Diceros bicornis minor: one gene and its partner. The protein of the gene in region 2 interacts with the protein of the main gene of each other region in a biochemical or structural test. Links are inferred from orthologs where the notes say so. Each region holds a gene or a part of one and is shown on either strand. Other genes may lie near its edges.

Region 1 (11,514 bases), on a different chromosome or scaffold from region 2:
TTGCCAAACTCGCTTGAATCCAGGGTCCTTCTTGTTTTCTGAAGACTAATATTTTGTGGAACACACTTGGGGAAATGTTGAATGATTTAATGATGTAATCATAAGATAGCTAACATTGATTGATAGCTTAGAACATGCAACAGTGAGCCAAGTGTATTACATATACGATCTCATTTAATCCTCACGAGACCCTCCTAAAGTGGGGGTTACTCTTTTCACTTGAGGAAACAAAGGCTGGAGGTTAAATAACATGCCCCAAGTTTTTCAGCCTTAAGTAACTTGCTATAGCACCCAAGCCCAGGGATCTGACTCCAAAACTGGGCTTTTCAACTTGGCTCTTGTATTTACTAACTCTCTAAAACCCGTGCTCACTTGAATCTTACACTGACTTTGTACCCAGGAGGGTCAAGTATTCTGATCAGGCTCATTTTACAGATAAGGAAACGGAGGTGGAGAGGAGAGGGGAGCAGCTCAAGGACAGAGGATAGGGCACAGGTCCCACTAAGGACGGAACCCACCTCAGAACTCAAATTAACGCTTCTTCTTGGGGGGTTTGTGTCAACATGAGAGAATGCAGCAACACATTGTTGGCCATTCATCACCTCAGTGAAGAGGGGGCCGTGTGAGGAGATGCCTCTGCAAACTCTCCCTGGAACCCCGGGCGCAGGCAGCTGGTGTACTGGAAAGAGTCTTGGACTGAGTTTTAGGAGTCTGGCGTTTTTGTTTCAGCTCCATCGTGGGCCAGCTGGGTGACCTTGGGCAAGTCCCCGAGGGACACTGCTCAAGCCCGAAATGTGCTTAGCAAATCCTGACTTTTCTACCTAATAGACTAAATATGCTACTCACTAAGATTATGGGTATAAAAGTCCTTTGTGAGCTGGAAAAGAGCTGAGGGGGAAACCTGAAGCTGCTGAGTGGGAGTGTTGTGCGTGGGGAGGTGCCGAAGTGAAATCTCATCCTCTTCTCTGTTTGGCCTTGCCCTCTCAGCAGCCACTCAGCCCAGGGGACCAGGGGCCAGAGGACAACGAGGTCTTTGTGCCCTTCAGCCAATGGGAGGGCCTGCCTGGGGAAAGAAACAGTAACAAGGCAGACAGCCTGAGTCAGTCTCCAGTGTGCCAGGGCCTTTTTAGCTTGGCAGCCTTGACTTTGAGCCAGACACACAAAGGGTGCATTTCAGAGTTTTGATACATAATCTTCAGCCCAAAGGGGTCAGCTGGTCTGGTTCCTGCCTCTAGAGACTTGGGGCAGCTAAAGCTGGCTTCAGCCTGGGCCTGGAGTTAGGAGACCAGGGCTCTAGGCTTAGCTGTCTACACTGTGACCTTGGGCTCTGAGATCCTCAGTTTCCTCAGCCATACAAGGAAGATGTAGGATTGGATAGGGCCTAAGGACCCTAACAGTTCTAAGCTTTGAAAGAATAGGACAGATTCAGCCTGTTGAAAGACGCATGGCTTTGGGGAAGATGGGGAGGAGAGGCAGCCTCACTAAGAGCATGGTACATGCAGAGGTATGTACAGGGAAGCGATGGACAGTGTGGGGTCTGGAGTTGAGCTGCTTGTGTGGATTCCTGGCTTCACCTCTGTGGGACACTGAGCAAGTCATTCAGCTCTCTGAACCTTTGTTTCCTCATCTTTAAGATGGGATTGGTAATTGTACCTACCTACGGTAGACAAAATAATGGCCACCAAAGATGTCCAGGTCCTAATCTCCAACTGTAAATATCCTACCTTGCATGGCAAAGGGGACTTTGCAGATTAAGTTAAGGATTTTGAGATGGGAAGATTATCCTAGATTATCTGGGTGGGCCCAATGTAATCACAAGAATCTTTGGAAGAGGAAAGCAAGAGGGTCAAAGTCAGAAAAAGGAGATGTGGGGGGCCGGCCCCGTGGCATAGCGGTTTAGTGCGCGCACTCTGCTGCTGGCAGTCCGGGTTTAGATCCTGGACATGCACCAATGCATTGCTTGTCAGGCCATGCTGTGGCAGCGTCCCATATAAAGAAGATTGGCACTGATGTTAGCCCAGGGCCAGTCTTCCTCAGCAAAAAGAAGAAGATTGGCATGGATGTTAGCTCAGGGCTGATTTTCCTCACAAAAAAATATAGAAAAGAAAACAAAAAAAGAAAAAGGAGATGCAATATCAGAAGCAGAGGTTGGAATGATGTGCTTAGAAGATGGAGGATGGGCCATAAGCCAAGGAATGCAGGCAGCCTCTAGAAACTGAAAAAGGCAAGGAAACAGATTCTTCCCTCAAGCCTCAGAAGGAATGCGGCCCTGCCAACACCTTGATTTTAGGACTTCTGATCTCTGGAACTGTAAAGTAATAAATGTGTGTTTTAAGTCACCACGTTTGTGGTAATTTATTACAGCAATAACGGGAAACTAACATACTACCCAAGAGTGTACATTAAGTGAAGATAACTGAGATAGTGAGCATAAAGTGTTTTGCCCAGTGTCTGCTCAGCAATATTGGATATTATTATCTCTCTTCCCAGTTTAGTCATAATTGTTCCAACCAGACCTGGTGCCTCAAGTACCCATGTGCAAAATTCATCAGGTTTTTTACCTGCGAGGCCCACTCAGGATTTATGGCCTGGAGAGCTGAACATGGAGATCCTGACACTGTTTCCGATGTAAGCTTTAGGGGATGTTTCTTGGCACTGCTCTTATTTATTTAACTTCCTGCTTGGTTGCGTTCCTCCTTGCCTGAAGCCAAATCAACAGAGCCTCCCTGATCTGTTTCCAGAGTTCAGACCTCTCACTCCCTGCCCAGGTGTTCCTGCCTGTACATGGGTTGCCACCTGGCCCCAGTCCAGCTTCCAGAGATGGTCCACCAGGTGGTTCAGGTGACAGAGACTCTGGAGTTACTGAGCAGAAGGACAAGCAGGTTCTCGATGGGGTTGAGAATCTGCCTCTGATCCAGGGGTCAGGAGACCTGGTTTTGAGTCCCAGGTCCACTGGGTGATTGGGGCTTCAGTTTCCCCATATCTACAGTATAGGTTTTAAGCCCTGCCCTGACTTTCTCACAGGACTGCTCTGTGGTTCACTGAGATGGTAGATGAGAAAGTACTGTGGAAAGTACTTTGGAAGAAGAGGAGGAAGAAGGAGAAAAGGAGGAGGAGGAAGAGGCAGAGAAGGGAGCTTTCCTCTAACTGACAATTCTAGCCCCACCTCCAGTTACTTGTAGAAGCCAAGCTCTCCCATCCTAGGGTCTTGGCACTTATTCTCCCCTTTGCCTGGAATACTCCTCCCCCAGCCCTTCTCACTGACTCATCATTCAACTTTTTTTCTCAAAATTTTCCTCCTCTAAGAAGCCTACCCTGACTATCCTATCTAAATTGCCCCCCCCATTACCTACTCATTTCATCCTGTTTATTTCATTCGTAGAATTGATCACAACCTGAAACTAATTTATCACCTGCCTCCAGCTATTAGAACGTAGAATGCATGAAGACAGTCTTTGTCCTACTTATTGGTAAATCCCCAGTGTGATGGAGTCAATGAATGAGCAAAGGAGGTAGCTGATGTTCTGGGAGGCGTGGGGAGCCTGGATGCTGTGCACCTGTGGGCATTCTCCAGGCAGTGGGCAGTAGAGCACCCCTGAGTTCTCAGGCTCTGGCTGGGTGGTGGGTCAGGAAGGGCAGGATCAAGGTTGAGGTGGTGGTGCCTCGAGGTGCACAGCTGAAGAGTGGCTGGACAGGGTGGTGGGCAGGTGGCAGGGACTCCAAGGTACTGACTTCTCATTTTGTAAGCTGAAAAGCTGATCCAATCTGATGTTGAGTCAGCAACACACTCAACTAAAGAGCTGAGGACCAAATGGCTGTGGAGTCTAGAGTCCACAGATGTCAGAGCTGGAGGGGAATTCAGGAGGGGGTGGTATGTACCCCCTCCTGAATTATGATCAAGAACTGGGCTCTGGTGTCTGTTACACCTGGATTTCAATCTCTGATTTGCCGTGTACTTGATGCACGAACTTGGGCAAATTATTGATCTGAACTTCATTTTGCACATCTGTAAAATGGGGATAATAATAGTCCCTATTTCATAAAGGTTAGATCAGAGAATATATGCAAAGGACTTAGCTCAGTGCTTCGCACATAGTAGGTGTTTAATAAATGCTGGCACTCATTACTACTATTATGCTGTCTAATCTATCTACAAATGGAAAAGGTGTAGCTCAGATGGGGACAGGGATGAGCCCAAAGTCACTCACTGACTCAGTGGCAGAGTGGGGATTGGCCCCCAGGTCTACTACACCTGGCCCGGTTGTGCTTCTCTCCCTTCCTGTAAAGCCCTTGGTGGTCGCAGGAGAATCAACCTTAGTCCTAGTGGTCTCCCTTCCTAAGTCACAGTCATCCTTGCTTCAGAGGCTGCTGTTCCCCCAGTGTGTTCTTACCCCTAGACACAAAACCTACCAAGTTTTCCTGTGAGGGATCCTGACTCAGAGTCTCCCCACAGGGGCCTGGGAGTGGCCTCCAGATGGGATCTCTGTCCCAAAGCTTTAGCCTAGCCCCAATCTGCTTTCTAATTCCTGAACCAAAGGCCGCATGGGAACTCCAGCCAAACACTGGGAATGGCTCCATTGGCTCATTCTCATCAGAATTGTTATCTTAGTTTATGAAGAAAAACACAAAGTTTAAATTAATTTTAGTCTTCACGATGCCTGGGAGCTATAGCAACCAATCCTATAAAAAATATATATATCTCTAGATGGCAAAACAGATATATGAGGAGTCTGCCAGCACCCTGTGTTGCACAGCCAAAGCAGAGCATCAGCTCTTGGCTTTGGGACCAGGGAGAGGCCTTGGGGATCATCTGGAGCAGAGCTCCTTTCCTGGGTTCCTGACTAGCCCTTTCGAGAACCTGAAGGAAGCCATGAACCGTCTCTGCAGAAAAATGCACACAGGTCCAAACTTTTAGCTTTAATTTTTGTAGGTTTGAGGATCTCTTGAAGACCAGTGTTCAGCACTATTCCAGGCCGGAACCCTATTAAAAGACAACTCCTTCCTTGATTGAGAGCCAACTTTGTGTTGGCCACTGTTCTAGACACTTGGAACACTGCTGTGAGCAAGACACATGAAGCCCCTGCTCCCATGAAGCTTCTGTCTAGTGAGGGAGACAAATAGTTTCTGACTGTGACAAGTGCCAGGACAGAAATAAAGAGAGAGCCAAGGAGACTGGTTTAAGTTGGGTGGTCAGAGGGTCTCTCATAGGAGATGACATTGTAACAGAGACCGGAAAGATGAGAAAACTCCAGTCACAGGAAAATGAGGTGGAAGAGTGTCCCTGGCCAAGGTAACACAAGTGCAAAGATCCTGGGTTGGGAGTAGCTTTGGGGTTGTTGAGGAACTGAAAGGAAGCTGGTGTGGCTGGAGTAGAGTGAGCCAGGAGGAGAGTGGCAGGAGGAGAGGATGGCAAGAGAGGCAGAGGCCACATCATGTGGAGGTTTATCAGAATATTTTCTGCCTTCTCCCTCTTCATGGTATTCAAACCCAATCCATGCTTCAAGAGCCACCTCTTCCAGGAAGCCTTCTCTGTTTGCTCCAACCCAGAGATCCTGCCACTCTGAAGCCCCGGGATAAACCTCAGAGTCTGTACCACTCATGTGAGTGCATGTATCCATAAGGCATGTCCTGTCAGCTTGTCCAAAGTTCCTTGAGGGCCAGATATTAATTCTTGTACCTCCCTTGCTAGGCATTTAATAAATATTCAACCAAGACCTACTGCACTGAGAAGTTCGTGTAGTGTAACTATGAACCAAGTTGACTATAGAATCAGCCTGCCTATACCACTTTTAGCCAGGTAATCCCAGGCAAGTGACTTAGCCTCTTGGAGACTCTGTTTCCTTCTTAGTAAAATGGGCATAATAACAATATCTAAGTCAAGGGCTTGCGGTGGAGATTAAGTCCTCAGTAAACCTTGGCTATGGTTACTTCTCTGATGATTATCAATATCATCAGTCTCCTTATCCGTTCTGTACTGATGACACGGATCCTCCTGCTAGAAAGCTAATCTCTCATTGTCTATTAGTGGTGCAATTAGAGTTAGAGTGCTTATTTTTAGACCATATCCCAAATCACCAATGATGATGCCACCAGTGGCAGCTTCTCTTGTCTGTACAGAGGTGAGTCCTGGCCTTGCCTTTGTCACAGTACAACCCCTTGAGTGGTTTTGCCCTTCTCAGCATTGCCTAATGTTGGGGAGGGCTCTTGTAAAGATCGCTGGTCATAAAGTCAAGACATTTGGGCCTGGCTCTGCCACTGGGGGCCCTTGGATAATCCCTTGCTCCCTCTAGGCCTCAGTTCCCCTCTACACAAGAAGGACGTTCCTTGTTCTAGGTGATTCCTGCGCGCCTGTCCAGCCCTGGCACTCTGTGAGTGCCCCAGAACCCACGAGACAGGCAGGGTTGAGAGTCTGCTCAGGACAGCCCACAGCAAGGAGATGAAGAAAGAAATGGAAGACACACACAGCTTTGGCTGCGGGGAGAAGGAGGAGGTGGGAGGAAGGAGGAGACAGAGGAGGAGGAGGGAGCGCGGGGTGGAGGGGGAGGCAGACCCAGCCCAGAGCTCTGAGTGGTTTCCTGTTGCCTGGCTCTAAACCCTTCCACATTCCTGCAGACCTTCAGACAGCCCAGAGCGCACTCCGCCGGCTGCCTGCTTGCCAGAGGTAAGCACAACCCCGGCCCTGCCTTCCCCTTCCCTGGTCGCATCAAGCCCTATCCCCTAGGTCACTCCTCTGGTTTGTGTACACGGGAGGGGAAGCTGTACCGGGATCAGGGATGGGGGTGTGCATGTTCTTCGGGCTCCATCCCCACTCCCGTTAAAGGCAGGAGCCGTGGACTCACTGCCTGTTGCTTTTCAGGTGGAATCACAGTATAACTTGGTCTCCCTTTTAGGTTTGCAGAAAATAATATCACTATGTCTTTGAGGGAGAATTTTCTGTCTCTCTGTCTCTCTCCGTGTCTGTTTCTCTGGTTTCTGAGGCTGCCTGCCTGTCCTCTTTGCTCCCTTTGCAAATGTGGCAGCTTCTTCCTTTCCTGGGAATCTGATCCTGTCACAGCTGCAACAGGGACCAGCTGGCAGCCAGAGTTTGCCCTGCTCTCCATTCCAAGAGAAGAAACTTCCTAGACTTGGTTCTTGGTCAGGGGCTCTGTTTTCCAAGAGAGACTTTGCAGGAATGATAAATTGATCTCTGGAAGACAAAGGGGGAGGCTTCATCCCTAATCACCACCTCCAGGAAGGCTCTTTTTTCCCTCCAATTCTCCCCCATCCACCATGCCCCTACACACACACACACACACACACACACACACACACACACACACAGACTCTGGTGCCACTGGCCTGAAATAGCACCATCAGATAGTCAGTCTTGGGTTAGGCATTGTTTCCATCTTGGGCTCCCTGGGGTGTAAACACAGGAACTCACCAGCAGTAGCCCCTAGTGTGTCTAGATCTGAAGACCCCAGGCATCTGGTATCATCCAACCAAAGTACTGGGCCCTAGGGAGGTCGGGTGTGGTGGGGGATGAGCTGAGAAGGGGAAGGGGGAAGGCAAGACAGAGGGTTCCAGGGCAACCTTCTCACATCTCCTTGTTTTGAGAAGATCCAACCCTACAAAGAACCGGTGTGTAGCCTTTTGGGGCATTAGGTCTTCTTCAGATAAACTCCTTCCTGTCTTTACCCTTGTTGGCTCCATTGGTTGGTTGATGAGTGGACTTCCTGAGTTCTGAAGGACACCAAGGGAAAAGGGGGCACTGGGATGAGGCATGTCCTCTAGGAAGCCCAGTCTGCCCAAAATGGAAAAGAGGGGCACACATTTTCCTCCAGAAAGGACAGCATTCTATGCAGAAAACATAGAGAAAATATTTTCACCAGCAATTCTCTAGGGTTACATTTCTATATACCCAAGTGCTGATGGTAGAGCGAGAAGCAAATCTGCAGTAGGGTGGCAGACTTAAGGTATGCTTAGGTAAGTGTCTCCTCTGGACTTAGTTTCCCTGCCTATAAAGTGAGAGGGTTGGACTTGATGGTCTTCAAGGTGCCTGATGTCCTCTGAAACTTTCAAAGGAAAGTCTCTTAAACCAGAATCCACCGACTGGCCTTTGAATGGGCTTCAAGGCATCTGCAAGCCCCTTAAAATTGTATGTACAGTAGTGCGTGCGTGTGTGTGTGTGTGTGTGTGTGTGTGTGTGTGTGTGTGTGTGAGTGAGAGAGAGAGGGAGAAAATACAAGAGGGTGTTCACAGCCTTCTGTCTTAAGATATTCTCAAATGGATGCATGACCTCCAAAATAGCCAGAAAGCATAGTGAGAGATGGAGTGGGTGGGACTGGAGGCAAACATATATTTGCAGGAGGATGAAAAAGTTTGAAATGGGAGTGGTTGGGGAAAGAGCGAGTTAACTCCCAGCCATCAGCTGCCACATCGACAGAGCCTGGAGCAGGGGGAGGAAGGGAGGGGTGGAAGGGGGGTGCCTGGAGAAGGAATCAACTTTTGAAACTTTCTCCAAGTCCCACCCACAGAAAGCCTCTTCTTTGCCATGACTCACTCTAGGAGGAATGCGAGTTGCCATGGCAACCTTTTTTTCAGGGTCTCTGCCTGCTGACTGGGAGGGGACACTGGGAACACTCAGAACTTCAGGCTCAGTCTGACTATCCCCCACTCCACTCCGTCCCCAAATACCAGGAGAGCAAACTCTAGGCCCTGCCCTTCTGACCTCCCAGGATCCCAGGGCAGCAGTGGGGCTTTGATAAGCTTCATACTTCGTGGACAGGGTGTTTGAAGACCTGAGTTTTAGTTCCACCTCTGCCCCAAAAGTGCCATTGACTTTGAACAAATTGCTTCTCCTATCTGAGTCCCAGTGTCTTCCTTCGTTAAAGAGCAATAACAGCAGCCACCTCAAAGGGATATTGTGTGGACAAAATGGGATAATGTACAGGGGAACACTTGGTAAACTGAGGCCCACGCACCTAATGTGATGTGTTTTCAGAATTGATAGATTTATGGCATCCAAAGAGTTGGTGAGATCATTCCCAGCTTTTTTCTCTGGCAAATCCATCATCTTGGGGTTTGCATATAACTTCCCTTTCCTAAAAGTGCTGATAGGCATATCTAAAAAAACTAAATATCATCTAGATTCAGTTAATTTGGGGACGTCCTTGAGTATTTCCCAAGAGTATTGTACCCTCCAGTGCGGAAAGAGCATTGGCCAAGGCACGAGCAGAGGTGGGTCCTAACTCACAGTAAGTGACATTGGGAAAGACCCTTCCCTCCTCTGGGCCTCAGTTTCCCGATCTGTTAAATGAGGAATCTAAGCTAGATGGTCTCCAGGTGCCCTTCCAGCTCTGAAGTCCGCGAACCTAAATCCAGATGCTGCTTTCATTAAAAGCAATCTCTGGCTGACATTTTTAACACCCCGGTCCCTCTAGTTGAAAAAGAAACAAGAGAGGAGGGGCTAGGGGGTTCTTGGGTTGCATAACACTCCTGCTAAAATCTTTATCCATCTGTAGAGGCTTGTCAACTAATCACGTGACTGGGGTTTGCTAGTCACAAGAGCAGATTTCCTTGCTGAAAATAAGCTATAAATAGGAAAGGATGGCGGAGGAAAGGAAACAGCTGAGGATGTCAGGTAAACAGGAGAATATTTGGTTTTTGAGGTGATTAGATAGGTAGCTAAGTGTGCAGAAGATAAACAGGGACAGACACAAACCCATGAGGAGGCAGGGTAAAAACATGTCACCAACAGGCACTCACTGGCACAGTTAAAAATAATTGCCTCAATACCTGAGCAGACACAGAAGGTCATGCGCTCGCTCACTTCTCCCTGGGCAATACCTTGACTCGCAGGCAAGTTCCAGGTCTACATCTTGATGCAAACGCAAACTCTGATCCTTACTTGTACAGGCCGAAACAGACAGATGCCGAGTCAGGTAGACACACACAGACACAGCTTCACTCAGAAGTCCTTAAGGTAACTTACACAGACATACTGTCAGGTGTGCAAACCCAACTGCCATTTGTAGCCACACATAGATGTGCACAGCCAGGCATAACTACCGGTCATGACAGACCAACACGTTACATACACACAGCACCAGGCCACCTGTTATATTTTACAGATAGAGAAATTGAGACTCAGGAAGAGAGAATAACTTACTCAAGGTCACATAGCAAACTGATGTCTGAGCCAAACTTCCAGATGTTCACCTTGCTTTTTCTTGTTTGTTTGTTTCATCTGATCAGTTTGGTATCACGCCTACACACCTTCCTCTATAGGCAACAAGCCCTGTGGATAATAAGTGATGAGCAGTGCTTTCTCTGTCCCCTTGGCTGGCCTGCTATGGCCTATCCCAGCCCACATGGCTTTGTCATTAAGGCAGCACGACGAGGCTAATAGGAAGTCTGCTCCTTTGCTTCCTGCTGGCTCCCTCCCTCACCTCCTTTAGAGGAGGGAAAGGATGGCTGGAGCTTCATTAATCCTGGGGATTAATGAAGTTACCTTTTCTCTAGAGCACAGAGCCTGGATCCTAACCACAACCCTAACTCGGGAACAGCTGGGCTGAGCAGGGCCAGGGCCGGCAAGCAGTGACTTGCCAGAATTATTTAGAAAAATAGCCTCCTCCTCATCCAAGAGGAGATGTCTTAGACAGGAAGTTAACTCTGCCTTCATTTGTCCAGCCATAGAGCTTGATGTCTGTAGGGAACACATGGATGGAGACACCATGTCTCTCCAGAGCTGGGTTCTTTCAGACACTTGGGATTAACCTATCTGATCTGGGGATCCTTCTGGGTCGTCTTGTGTTAGTCATGGTATTAGGATTCCAGACTGATCAGATGAAAAAGGAAACAGAACAAAACCAGCTAAACATCTGAAAGTTTAGCTCAGGCACCAGCTTGGATGACTTCGAGTAAGTTATTTTCCCATTTTGATCCCCAATTACTCTATCTCTAAAATCAGAAGCATGACAAAGAGGTTTCACATGGCTTGACATCTTACTAACTTAGCTTAGACAATACAACTTACCAACGTATTGGTAGCGGCTGCCAGAAGAACTGTGTTCAGGATTCAGATGTCACTCCGGACTTTAGGGGAAAAGGCCATATGTTTGATTAGCAATGTCTGCCACATGCAAAGGAGAGGCAGGTGAAGGCATACATGCCACGTATTTGCTATCTTCGGGATGTGACCGCCTGGACACTTTGATGTTCTTTCTCATCCCTTTCATTTGTGGTCACCCTGATGCAGCAGTGGCCCCTAGAGGGAGCTAAGGAGGAGACCCAGTGGCTCCACCCCGGGGCCTCTCCTAACCATGGTGAAACGTGGCATCTTAGTGGAATCTCAGTCAGGCTGATTCTAGTCTCAAACTCCAGGGCTACTTCTGAGTTGCCCCAGAACCTCTTCAATCCCAGGCTTGAGCACCCATAACACCCTAAAATCTTCCCTTAGCTTCTTCCTTTCTGGCGAGAAATATTAGAAGCAGAAGCAGAGAGTCAAGGGTGAAGTTTGGGAGAGGTGATCCT
Region 2 (10,869 bases):
TCTCTCTGTCTCTTCCCAGGTTTGGTGGTGCCTTCCCTCCCATTCCAACCCTGCATTCAAACCCCGTCACCCGCCCTCCCAGACCCAGCTCAAAAGCAGCCTCCTCTATGAAACCTGCCTTCTCTCCCGCTGGCATTCTCGTCACCCTTTGCATCTCTCTGGAGACTTCCATTTACTGAGCATGACATCGGCCAGCAAGGTGGTCTTATTACTACCCCATTTCGTAGATTGGGGAAATGAGGTTCCGAAAGATGAAGCCACTTACTCAAAATCACACAGCCACTGCTGCCTTGGGTGAGAGACATTTCTGTGTTTATTTTATTCCCTTTCCTGACTGCACTCTCTGAAGGTAGAAGCTGTTGTCCCCAGAGCTCTCCCCAGCACAGGGCTGGCCCCAGGATGTCTGCAGAAACCATCCATGGAATAGAATTGACTAGAGTGTCTGCAACAGGCGCCGAACTCAGGATCTTCTTCCCCAGACAGGGTCCTCGCCCAGCCTCCATTCTTCCAGGGTACCACACCATCCAGTCTCTCAGGTCAGAAGACCAGGAGTCTTCCCTGCTCCTCGCCACCACACCCCCATGTCCAATCTGGCCCCAACACCTATAAATTCTGCCTCCCAAAGGGCTCTTGAATCCATCCTCTTCTTTGTGGCCATTCCCTTCAACCTGGTCCAGGCTCTCATCAGCTCTCACCTGGGCCCATGCAGCAACCACTGTCCGCCACAGCTCTCCTCCAGTACCTGTTCCACCAAGTGACCACGGTGTCTCTTACAAATCCAGACCTGATTGTGACCCTCCCTGCTTTAGACCCTCTACTGGGGCCCAAAGGTCTGAGGATAAGAACTAAAACCAGTGATGTGGCTTCTTTGGCTTGCCTGGCCTTAGCTCCCTGTGCTCTAGCACACTGGCATTCTCTGGATTCCTTGAGCATCTAGAACTTGCCATGCCTCCTCCTGCCCCAGGGCCTTTGCATATGCAGCACCATCACACCCACCTCAACTCCCCACCCTGCCACCTACCCCTTACCTAAGTTATCTCTACTTATCCATCAATCTATTCAGGGAAGCGTACTGGGCCCCTGGGTCTAGGGTGGGATCTCTGGGATGCCTGCCGCTCAGACTGTGTCCCTTTCCTTTGTAACGTTTACAGTTGCAATTACACGTTTATTTATGTGATTGCATTAATGTCTGTCTCTACCAGGTGTAAGCTCCATATGGACAGGCACTGAAGTCCCAGCGTCCAGCAAGGCCCCGCATATAAATGTTGTTGAATGAATAATTCTGGATCCTTTCTATGTCAAAGCCAGACTCTGTCCAAAAGGGAGTTCTATCCAGGGCTGGTGCAAATGAACAGACTGGGATCCCCCCATCTCACCCTCTGTTCAACTCCCCACCCCAGAAACTCCAGAATCCCAGGTTTGCCAAGAAGAACTGGTGGCTGATGCAGAAGTGGAAGACACCAGACATCTGTGGCCGAGGCTGACCTGTGGGGGATGGGGGTGGGGGTGAAGGAGGAGATCAGGGTCTGCACAGGTGCCTCTGCCTCACAGGGGCTGCCCCTCCCATTCTTTTTTTTTTTTTAATTCAAGCTTCAAAGGAACCTTTGCATCTATCTCCTAAGCCCTTCAACCAGACATCTGGTTGTGATGCAAGCCTGGCCCCCTCTGCCCCGCCTCTCTGAGGCTGCTGCAGCTCTCTCCTCCCAGAGCCCTGCACGCAGCATCAGGAGACCAGGAGACTGGATGGAGGCACCAGAGATACCGGAAGAGAATATGAGAGAAAAAGAGGGAGGGAGGAGTGTGTGGGTGGAGGGCTGGGACAATGGGCCAGAGGCAGAAGAGAGAAAGGAAAGGAAAGAAAAGAACTAAGACAAAGAAGAAAAATACATGAAGAGGAAAAAGGTTAAGGGTGGGGGGAGATAAAAGAGTAGAAAAAAAGAAAGAAGTGAGGAATGGGAATATGATAGCACAAGTAGAGAATTGAACCAAACCAGAAAGAGGTAAATGACAAATCAATTAGTTCACTCACCCAAACTTTGATAAACCTGCTCTGCCTCCAGACATACTGAGGGGCTAGAAACACCATGAGGAACCTGCCAGGTCCCTGCCTGGGAGCTCACGGCCAGCAGGAAAGATGGGCGCTGACTCTACACTTGTGACCAGCACAGAGCGGAAGTAAGGATAGGTCCCCAAGCCCAACAATGTCCCCATCCAGCACATTATTCTCAGTTGGGACCTGGCTGGGACCTGTGGGTTGGCTGGAGCGGGCCTGGGGAGCAGCGTTAAGTGGAACAGTCCTAGTGTCACCTGAGGACCCCGCCCAGCCCTTCTCCCAGCTCATCCCAGCTCCTCCCCTGGTTCCTCTGCCCCAAGTTCCCCTCTTGGACTGGGGGGCCCCAGAGAATGGGGCAGGGTCTGCCGGGACTAGAAATCAAGACTTCTCTTCAGGAGCCTGGACTGAGGGCTTGCTCTAGAAGAGAATGAAGTGGACATCTCGGCCTGGATGTGGACATCTGAGGGCAGAAAGAGCCAAAAAGGCAAATGAGACCCAGAAAGAGAGCTCCAGAGAGGGAAGGATGGAGAAAGAAGCAGCAGAGGGAGGCAGGGGACAGACAGGAGTGGGGGTGGGGGAAACGTAGAGAAAGAAGGAAAAAGAGAAGGAGGCAGGGAGGATGAGGTTCTACTCGCTCTCCTCTCCATCACACCCAACCCCTCCTCCGAGCTGTCTGCACTCTGACCCCGTTTCCTGGCCTTCCGCTCACTCCTCACCCACTCCAGACAGGCCTCCTCACCCTCACTCCACTGAAACAGCTCACACTTAGGGCTCCAATCACTGCCATGTCGCTGAATCCAGAGAACAGTTTACTCCTTATCACACTAATTCTCTTTGCAGCATATAACTCTCCCTCCTTCTAGAGCAATCTTCCCTCTGCATACATGACATCCACCATCCCTCTCCTCTTTACTCTCCTACTTCTCCCGCTCTTGTCCTTTCTCCTGCGCAGGCTCCTCCTCCCTTTCCCTACCCCTAAACCCTGAGGGTCCTCAAGGCTCAGTCCTAGCCCTTCATCTCTCCCTGCTCCGTACTTTCTCAGGATACAACTCCATGCACACCATCACCCTAGGGGTCCCATTTTTGTCTCTTCTCTAAACTCCAGACCCAGACACCTTAGAGTTTCCTCTACATTTGTCACTGGATGTCTCATGGGCACCTAACACTCAACATGGACAAACTGAATTCATCATCTCCCCTCTAAACCTGGAAAGGATGATGAGTTGGAGGGACATCTCAGAAGGCTAAAGAAGGATTGGGTTGAGGCTGAGGCATAGAAAGAGCAGAGCTCTGCCTGGAAACTAAGGAACTTAGCTAAGGACCAAAGGGCCCAGATGGTGCACTGCTGAAGAAAGGGAAGACGAGAGGACCCCACACACCTGGAGTCTGTCCCCGGACTCTGCCCTCAGAATTCCTCAATAGGACCTGTGCAGGGCTCCATGATGGGGACATGTGGAGACCAAGGTCTTCACTGCAGCCTCATTCTTCCACTCCCTCCCCTTCTCTCTCCTCAACCCCTCTCTAGAGACCCTCTCTCCATCACCAGTCTGGGGCCAGGGTGAGGCAGAAGACCATTCTGGAAGGTCAGATCAGGGACGGAGGGCAACGGAACCTCAGCAGAGGACCAGAGCAGCTGGAAAGGGCTGACCCACCTGCCCACCAGGTGCACCAACACCAGGGCTGCCTCTTCTCCCTTGTCCCACATCACGGAGTCCAGACTGGGGGCGTGAGGGGCTCCAGAGGGAGAGGGGAGCTGGGGAGCACAGCCCGCCCCCTCCCTCGTGGAGGAAGGGCACTCTCGGAAATCTGGAGAGGGCGAGAACTTAGAGCTCAGCACTTTCCTCTTTCTGTTTTTCTTCTTGAGGAATTTTTTTCCCTAAGTGCTGATGACTTTACCATTTCTTGGGGGTGGGGGGAGGAGATTTTGGCTTTTGCTCCCCCCACTCCAAATGCCGGACGAAGTCTTGCATTCCACAAGAAGCCAGAGCTTCAGAGTTTCCTAAAGATGAGGTGGCGTCTCCTCCCCTCTCCAGCCCCAGCTCCCTCCCCCCAAGTCTCAAGCCCTCAGTCCTGGCCAAAGAGGCCCAGGCAGGCTGGGAGGAGACCCCAAGCACATTCTTCCTCTCACTGTCATGCTGCAGAAATTAAAGACACATCTTTGGGCTGGGCGCCCGCCAAGCGTTTCAAGTCAAAAAGTAGCAGAGGCGGCCCTGGGCCTCAGCTCTATGCCACGTGTAAAGGATGCTTGGAAACCCTCTGCTCGCAGCTCCGGGGATGGAGGTCCAAAACTGGACATAGGGGCAGTGGCTGTCACATGCCACACACACAAAGCCCACCCACCCCCATCCCAGGGGTCCCTGAACATCCTTCAGAAGCCCATGATGTAGCCGCTTCCAATCCGCACCTCTGAGGCTTAATCTCTTCTTGACGGTGAGAGTAGGACAGTCTGGACAGGGTGCATGTGGGGAGGGGGCTGCAGGGAGGAGTCCTTCTGGCTGTGCAAACTCAGCCAGAAGGGAGGTGGGCAGGTCACACCAACCTTTGCCCCAAGCCTGTGACACCCCACCCCAGACACCCACTCCACATGGTTGACTACTATGGGGGACAGGACCCTTTTCCTCTATTAGGGAGATGGTGCCCCTTGTCTCCCATCCACACTGGAGGGTGCAAGAACTGCCATCTCAGCATCTCAGCCTCCAGTCCTGCCCTGCAGTCGCTGGCACTAGGCGGGGGCAGATCCTGGGCCACAAGTTGCTGCCACATGGTGGGGATAATTGATGAAGGCCTGTCCCTCCATTGCTGTCTCCCGCTTGCCTCTCTGGAAACTCTATATTTTCCCTTTAATTATAGCCCCTGCAGTCTCCCTCCGCTGCCCCGCCCGCACGCTCATCCTGGCTGCCCACGGCCAACGTGGCTCCCTCCCCTTCTGTTCCCTTGGTCTTTTTTTTTCCTTTGCCTTCGTTGCACAAAACCAGCCGGGGGAGGGCGTGGAGAGGGGCGGGGGGAGGCAATGGAATCTTGGATGGTTTGGGGGAGGCGGGACTCCCCGCTTCCACGTTTGCAGCTCTGGAGTGATGGGGGTGGGGAAGCTGTGCGGGAGGGATTCGAGTTGACGGGGATTGCAAAGGGACCCCCATTGCCTTCTCTTGGGCCCACAGATTTTGACAGGACCAGGGGTCTGAGTGGATTGAGGTTGAGGTAGAGCACTGTTGGGAGATTGGGACACGAGGGAGGGAGGACACTGGCTTCTAGAGGCATCTCTCCCAAATACAGACTTCTTGGGGTGCCCACCCCCTTTCAGGGTACATATGATTCTCTCCTGGTTCCGGGGGCAGAGAGAAATGCCCTGGGTTTTCAGGAAAGAGGTGGGGCAGTGGGAAACATTCTCTAAAACAAGGTCACTCACCCTCCCATGCAAGTCCATCCCAAACCCCCAAAGGCAAATCTCCCCCAGACACCCAAATTCTCCCGTATACCCCCAACCCTGAGTCCAGGTACAACCAGAGAGGGGGCCTTATGCAGCACCCAGAGGGAGAACCCTCTCTCTGGTCAAGTGCCCTCCACCGGAGCTTGACTATTCTGGGTAGAAGAGTCTCTAAAAAGGCCCTGGCCACCAAGCACACCCTAACACGAGACCCCTTTCTAAGTCATCAGTGATCATAGCCCTCCGTGCAAAGTCACTTCCCCTGGGGTGGAAGAGTCCCAGCAATGCCCCACCAACACCAAAGCTTCCTTCTGGAGAGACCATGTAGCCAAATTCTCACCCGGTACTTCAGCCTCCCCATCTCGTCTCTCTCAGTCATACCTGAAGCTTGAGGGAGAGGACCTGAGTCCGTCTTGGAGCCTCAGGCATGGCAGAAGAATCGACATCCTCAAAATAAAACCCCTCTTGCCAGCACCCCCTCCACAAGTATCTGATTCTTAAGGTCTATAAAGGAATCTCTAACTTGGTCCCCAAATATTCCTAAGCTCCATAACCCAGCCACGCCAGAAGACACCCCAACAGGTACATCTTTTTAATTCCCTGGTCTCCTGTTTTGGAGGGGTTCTCGGCCGGCCTCTTCATATCCATCCCTTAGCTCTTGCCAAGGATGTCAGGAGCGTGCATGAGGCATGGCCAGGAGGACCCTCTCCCAATCACCCCAATCCTTCCACCTTTGGAAGGCTCCCACCCACTCCCCAATTCCAGTTTCTCCAGATTGGGGGTCCCAGGAAGAAAGCTGAAGAGGCGCCCCTACCCACTCTTTAGGCCACACTATGTTGAGGACCTAGATGCACCCCAGCGGCAGCATCTCTGGCCCAGGCTGGACTGGGGGGCTGGGGAGGCAGAGCTGCGAAGGGGGGAGATGTGTGGTGGACTCCCTTCCCTTCCCTTCCCTCCTCCTCCCCTTCTCGGTTCCAACTCCCAAATTGGGGGCCGGGCCAGGCAGCTCTGATTGGCTGGGGGACGGGCAGCCGGCTCCCCCTCTCCCAGGGGCAGGGTTCCTCCCCGCTCTCCATCAAGATGGTATAAAAGGGGCCCGGGCCGGTCATCGGAGCAGACGGGAGTTTCTCCTCGGGGTCGGAGCAGGAGGCACGCGGAGTGTGAGGCCACGCATGAGCGGACGCTAACCCCCACCCCAGCCGCAAAGAGTCTACATGTCTAGGGTCTAGACATGTTCAGCTTTGTGGACCTCCGGCTCCTGCTCCTCTTAGCGGCCACCGCCCTCCTGACGCACGGCCAAGAGGAGGGCCAAGAAGAAGACAGTAAGTCCCAAACTTTTGAGAGTCCAGGGCTACTTGGTGTCTTGCCCTGCGTTCGGTCCCGGGGGTCTGCGACCTAAACTGAGACTGGGGATGCTCCGGAGATTCAGGGATGGAAGGGAGATGGTTAGGGCTCTTCCTCGCGCCCTGGGAGAGAAGGGCGAGCACCCTGGGTGGGGAGTGTAGAGGAACGTCCCCCAGAAGTGGGAGAGGAGGATGGAGCTCGGCCTGAGTTGGCACAGGAGGGAGTCTCGAGCGCGCACTGCGGCGTACAACAGGGAAAATGGGGATCTGGGCGCGGGTGGGGGGCAAGTACGTCGAAGATGGGATGGGGTCGCCGAGCTGGGAATTTGGAGCCCAAGATGTAAAAGCGGTCGGGAAGGCTGTGGGATGATTCACAGGGAAAGATTGTTTGCCCTCTCTGCGGGCTAGACAGTGTTCCTGGGGCCGCGGGGGTGCTAGGCTGAGGGGGGAGGGGGCGCGGAGTGTGGGCGGGTTGGAGGTTGAGAAACTTTGGCGCGACTTGGCAGGGCGGGTCCTTGCGCCCCCTGCTGATCAACACTGAGCACCGTGCCTCCCTGTCCAGGGCTTCCCGCCGTAGGAGCTGGAGAGAGAAAACGGAGGTTATTGCCGGGTGTGGACCCCACCTCTAGACCTAGAAAATAAAGCTGGAGACCGGGTAGCCCCTGTCTCTAACGGAAGCGGCCAGGCCCGGGAAATTGCTTAGTGTTGCCCGCCACCTAGTGGCCATCTGGAGAGAGGCTCGCGCGGTGGGCGTGGTTAACTAACTTCATTGCTATTTGCGGACTTTTGGTTCTTTGGCTAAAGAGGGACCCAGAGGCACTGGTTGGCTTTGGAAAACGGGGGTCGTTCCTGAGAGAGGACTTTTGAGATGTCTGGGAGCTGGAGATTAGGGCGTATCCTACTTTTGGGGTACATTTCAAGTCTCTGGGCGGGACGCCACGCCAATCAGCCCCTCCCCATCCTCCTAGCTCCGCCCACGCCATCCCACCTGCTCAGGGAATGGGGCCGAATGGGGGCTGGACCTGCCATCTCTCCTCCCACCCTCTCCTCCTGTCTCCACCCAAACCACGCCCCACAGTCCTGCCCTCTTGAAAGGGCCCCCCCTTCTCCTCCCCACTCCGCCACCCCCCACTCCCCCACCCAGTGGCTTTTTATTTCACTTGGCTTCAGCGCCAATGGGCTGAGGTTGGAGTTGGAAGCAACCCCGGCCTAAAGCTTTGTTTAAATTCCTGAGAACTGGAAAGAGTTATAGCCGCGCTGGCCAGGGGCCTCGACACTGTCACGGGCCCTGATGAGGAGCAGACGAACTTTTAAGGATTTAGGGAAAAAGAAAAAAAAAAAAAAAAGGAGGAGGCGAGAAATGGAAAATCTAAATGTGTCTCTAAGACAGAGAGGAAGGGCAGATAGGGTTGGGGTCCCTGGAGCCCCAAGGTGGGAGGCTCGGGCGTCGCTGACAGCCCCGCTCTTCCCCTCTTGCCCCAGTCCCAGCAGTCACCTGCATACAGAACGGCCTCAGGTACCACGACGGAGCCGTATGGAAACCCGAGCCCTGCCGGGTCTGTGTCTGCGACAATGGCAACGTATTGTGCGATGAGGTGATCTGCGAAGACACCAAGAACTGTCCCGGAGCCTCTGTCCCCCCGGACGAGTGCTGCCCCGTCTGCCCTGAAGGCCAGGGTACGCTCGCTAGGGGCCTGGGGCGGGCGGAGGGCGGGGCCGTCGGGGCACCGGAGCCCACCCTGCCTCTAACCCGCGTCTCTTCTCCCCCCAGTGTCACCTACGGACGAACAAACCACAGGAGTAGAGGTAATCCTCTACCCTCGACTTTTGCCACCCTGCCCGTGACTCCTCACGGTCCTCCCTTCTCTAACCCAGCTTCTGTTTCTTTTCCCCCAACCCCATAGGGACCCAAAGGAGACACTGGCCCCCGAGGCCCAAGGGTAAGCTTCGCCCTCTCTGGGCTGTTGGGGGCTGGAGGTTGGTGTGGCTCCTGACCTGAGCTCACCCAGGCGCCCTCTCCCCCTTCAGGGACCCGCAGGCCCCCCTGGCCGAGATGGCATCCCCGGACAGCCTGGACTTCCCGGACCCCCCGGGCCTCCCGGACCTCCCGGACCCCCTGGCCTCGGAGGAGTAAGTGCAGAGCGAGATGCTTGTGGAAAGCCTGGTGTGCTCCCCTCCCCTCTCTGTGTTGTTGTTGTTGTTGTTGTTGTTTTTGGCGGCTGGCATTCTTTATATTTTGAAATAATTTCAAACTTACAGAAAAGTTGCAAGAGCAATGCAAAGAACTCTCATATACCCTTCACAGTTTGTCACATTTGCTTTATCAGTCTCTGTCTATGCATACATATAATTATCATAATTTTTTTTCTGAACCGTTTGAGAGTAAGTTGTTGCTATTATGTCCCTTTGCTCCTAAAAACTTCAGTATTTCCTGAGAACAAGAACATTCTCTTACATGATCATAGCACACGATTACATTTAGGAAATTTAACATTGGAACAATACTATTGTCTAATATACAATCCATATTCAAATTTTACCAATGTCCCAAAGATGTCCTCTATAGCATTTTTTTTCCTGATCCAGGATCCAATCTGGGGTCATGAATTGCATTTAATTGTCATGTCTCTTTAGTCTCCTTTAATCTGGAACATTCCTCAGACTTTCTTTGTCTGTCACAACCCTGAGATTTTTTGAAGAGGCCAGTTGTTTTGTAGACTGTCACTCAGTTTGGGTTTGTCAGATGTGTCATAATTAGATTTGGGCGGTGCGTCTTTGGCAGGAATATTTCCCAAGTGATGTTGTTGTTCTTCTCAGTGCATCACATGATGAGGCATACAATGCCAGTGGGGCCTGTTATCCGTGATGTCTTCTGCCTTTCAACTCGCTGCTGTCTCATGCACTCTCTCTTGTTTTTTCTAGAACTTTGCTCCCCAATTGTCTTATGGCTATGATGAGAAATCAACTGGAGGAATTTCCGTGCCTGGCCCCATGGTGAGCCACCAGGGGGTGTAGAGAGACAGAAGAGGAGCAGTTGGGAATCCAGACAAGATGGGCCAGTAATGGCTTAAGATAACTTGGGAGATCAAGACAACTTTTGGGACCTCAGAGTCCAGAGAGGATGCAAAACAACTGGGTGGTCCCAACAGGAACCAATGGGAGATAGCCTGACTTCACCCACCTTGCACTTGCCTACAGAGGTATCACTACAGCTTCCCCTTCTTTTCCTTCTGTAGGGTCCTTCTGGTCCTCGTGGTCTCCCTGGTCCCCCTGGCGCCCCTGTGAGTATCCAGGATGTCTTCACACACCACCCTGGGCTTTGGTCTTTTGAGGGGAGGATTGGGATGAGGGCAGGGAAGGTGCTCAGAGATCTCTTGGTGAGATGGGGAAAGGTTGGCAGGGACATGCCCTTATAACCCCACACCTCTCTCCTTGTCCTCCAGGGTCCCCAAGGTTTCCAAGGCCCCCCTGGTGAGCCTGGAGAGCCCGGAGCCTCAGTAAGTGCCCGTCAACGTGTACTCTATACAAATACACACTCCCTCTACAAATACATGGATTCTCCTATTGAGCAACACCCCCATCTGGAGTCTTCCCTACCTCCTCCTTCCACTCCCAGCCCTCTCCTTCTTTTTTCCTTATCCTGGTGATTCTAACCTCTCCTCTTATCTCCTCTAGGGTCCTATGGGTCCCCGCGGTCCCCCTGGCCCCCCTGGCAAGAACGGAGATGATGTAAGTAGCCCCCACAAGAAGATGCCATCTGACCCCACTGCCTCCATGGGCTAGGTCTCAGTCATCTCCACCCCAGTGCCCCTACCACCCTTGGGGGTGACACACAGAGAAAGGAGGGCAAGTTCTCCCTGACCCATGGGACTGCCCTTGAGCAACGATCTTCACCCTGCGTGGGATGTTTCTCCATCTCCCCAACAGGGGTGACTGTTCCTCCCCTGGTCCCAGCCACCTTAAAGTAGTCCCCAGTCCCACCCCTTGGGGTGAGTGACTTCCTTAGGCTTAACCACTCTGGGCACCCCAGATTTGCCCTCATATGGTGA

The links.
Region 1: the proteins of COL1A1 (region 2) and SPARC form a complex in vitro, tested with the Homo sapiens proteins (2 studies listed by BioGRID). The link is inferred for Diceros bicornis minor from reciprocal best matches to the Homo sapiens genes COL1A1 and SPARC.

What each region holds. Positions count from the first base shown.
Region 1 is NC_080740.1:68,552,720-68,564,233, reverse strand, and holds the start of SPARC (SPARC), read left to right. Parts: upstream 1-6,602; 5' UTR 6,603-6,661; intron 6,662-11,514.
Region 2 is NC_080757.1:36,082,722-36,093,590, forward strand, and holds the start of COL1A1 (collagen alpha-1(I) chain), read left to right. Parts: upstream 1-6,600; 5' UTR 6,601-6,708; coding exon 6,709-6,799; intron 6,800-8,302; coding exon 8,303-8,497; intron 8,498-8,591; coding exon 8,592-8,626; intron 8,627-8,724; coding exon 8,725-8,760; intron 8,761-8,848; coding exon 8,849-8,950; intron 8,951-9,742; coding exon 9,743-9,814; intron 9,815-10,056; coding exon 10,057-10,101; intron 10,102-10,263; coding exon 10,264-10,317; intron 10,318-10,495; coding exon 10,496-10,549; intron 10,550-10,869. UniProt on the Homo sapiens protein: Type I collagen is a member of group I collagen (fibrillar forming collagen).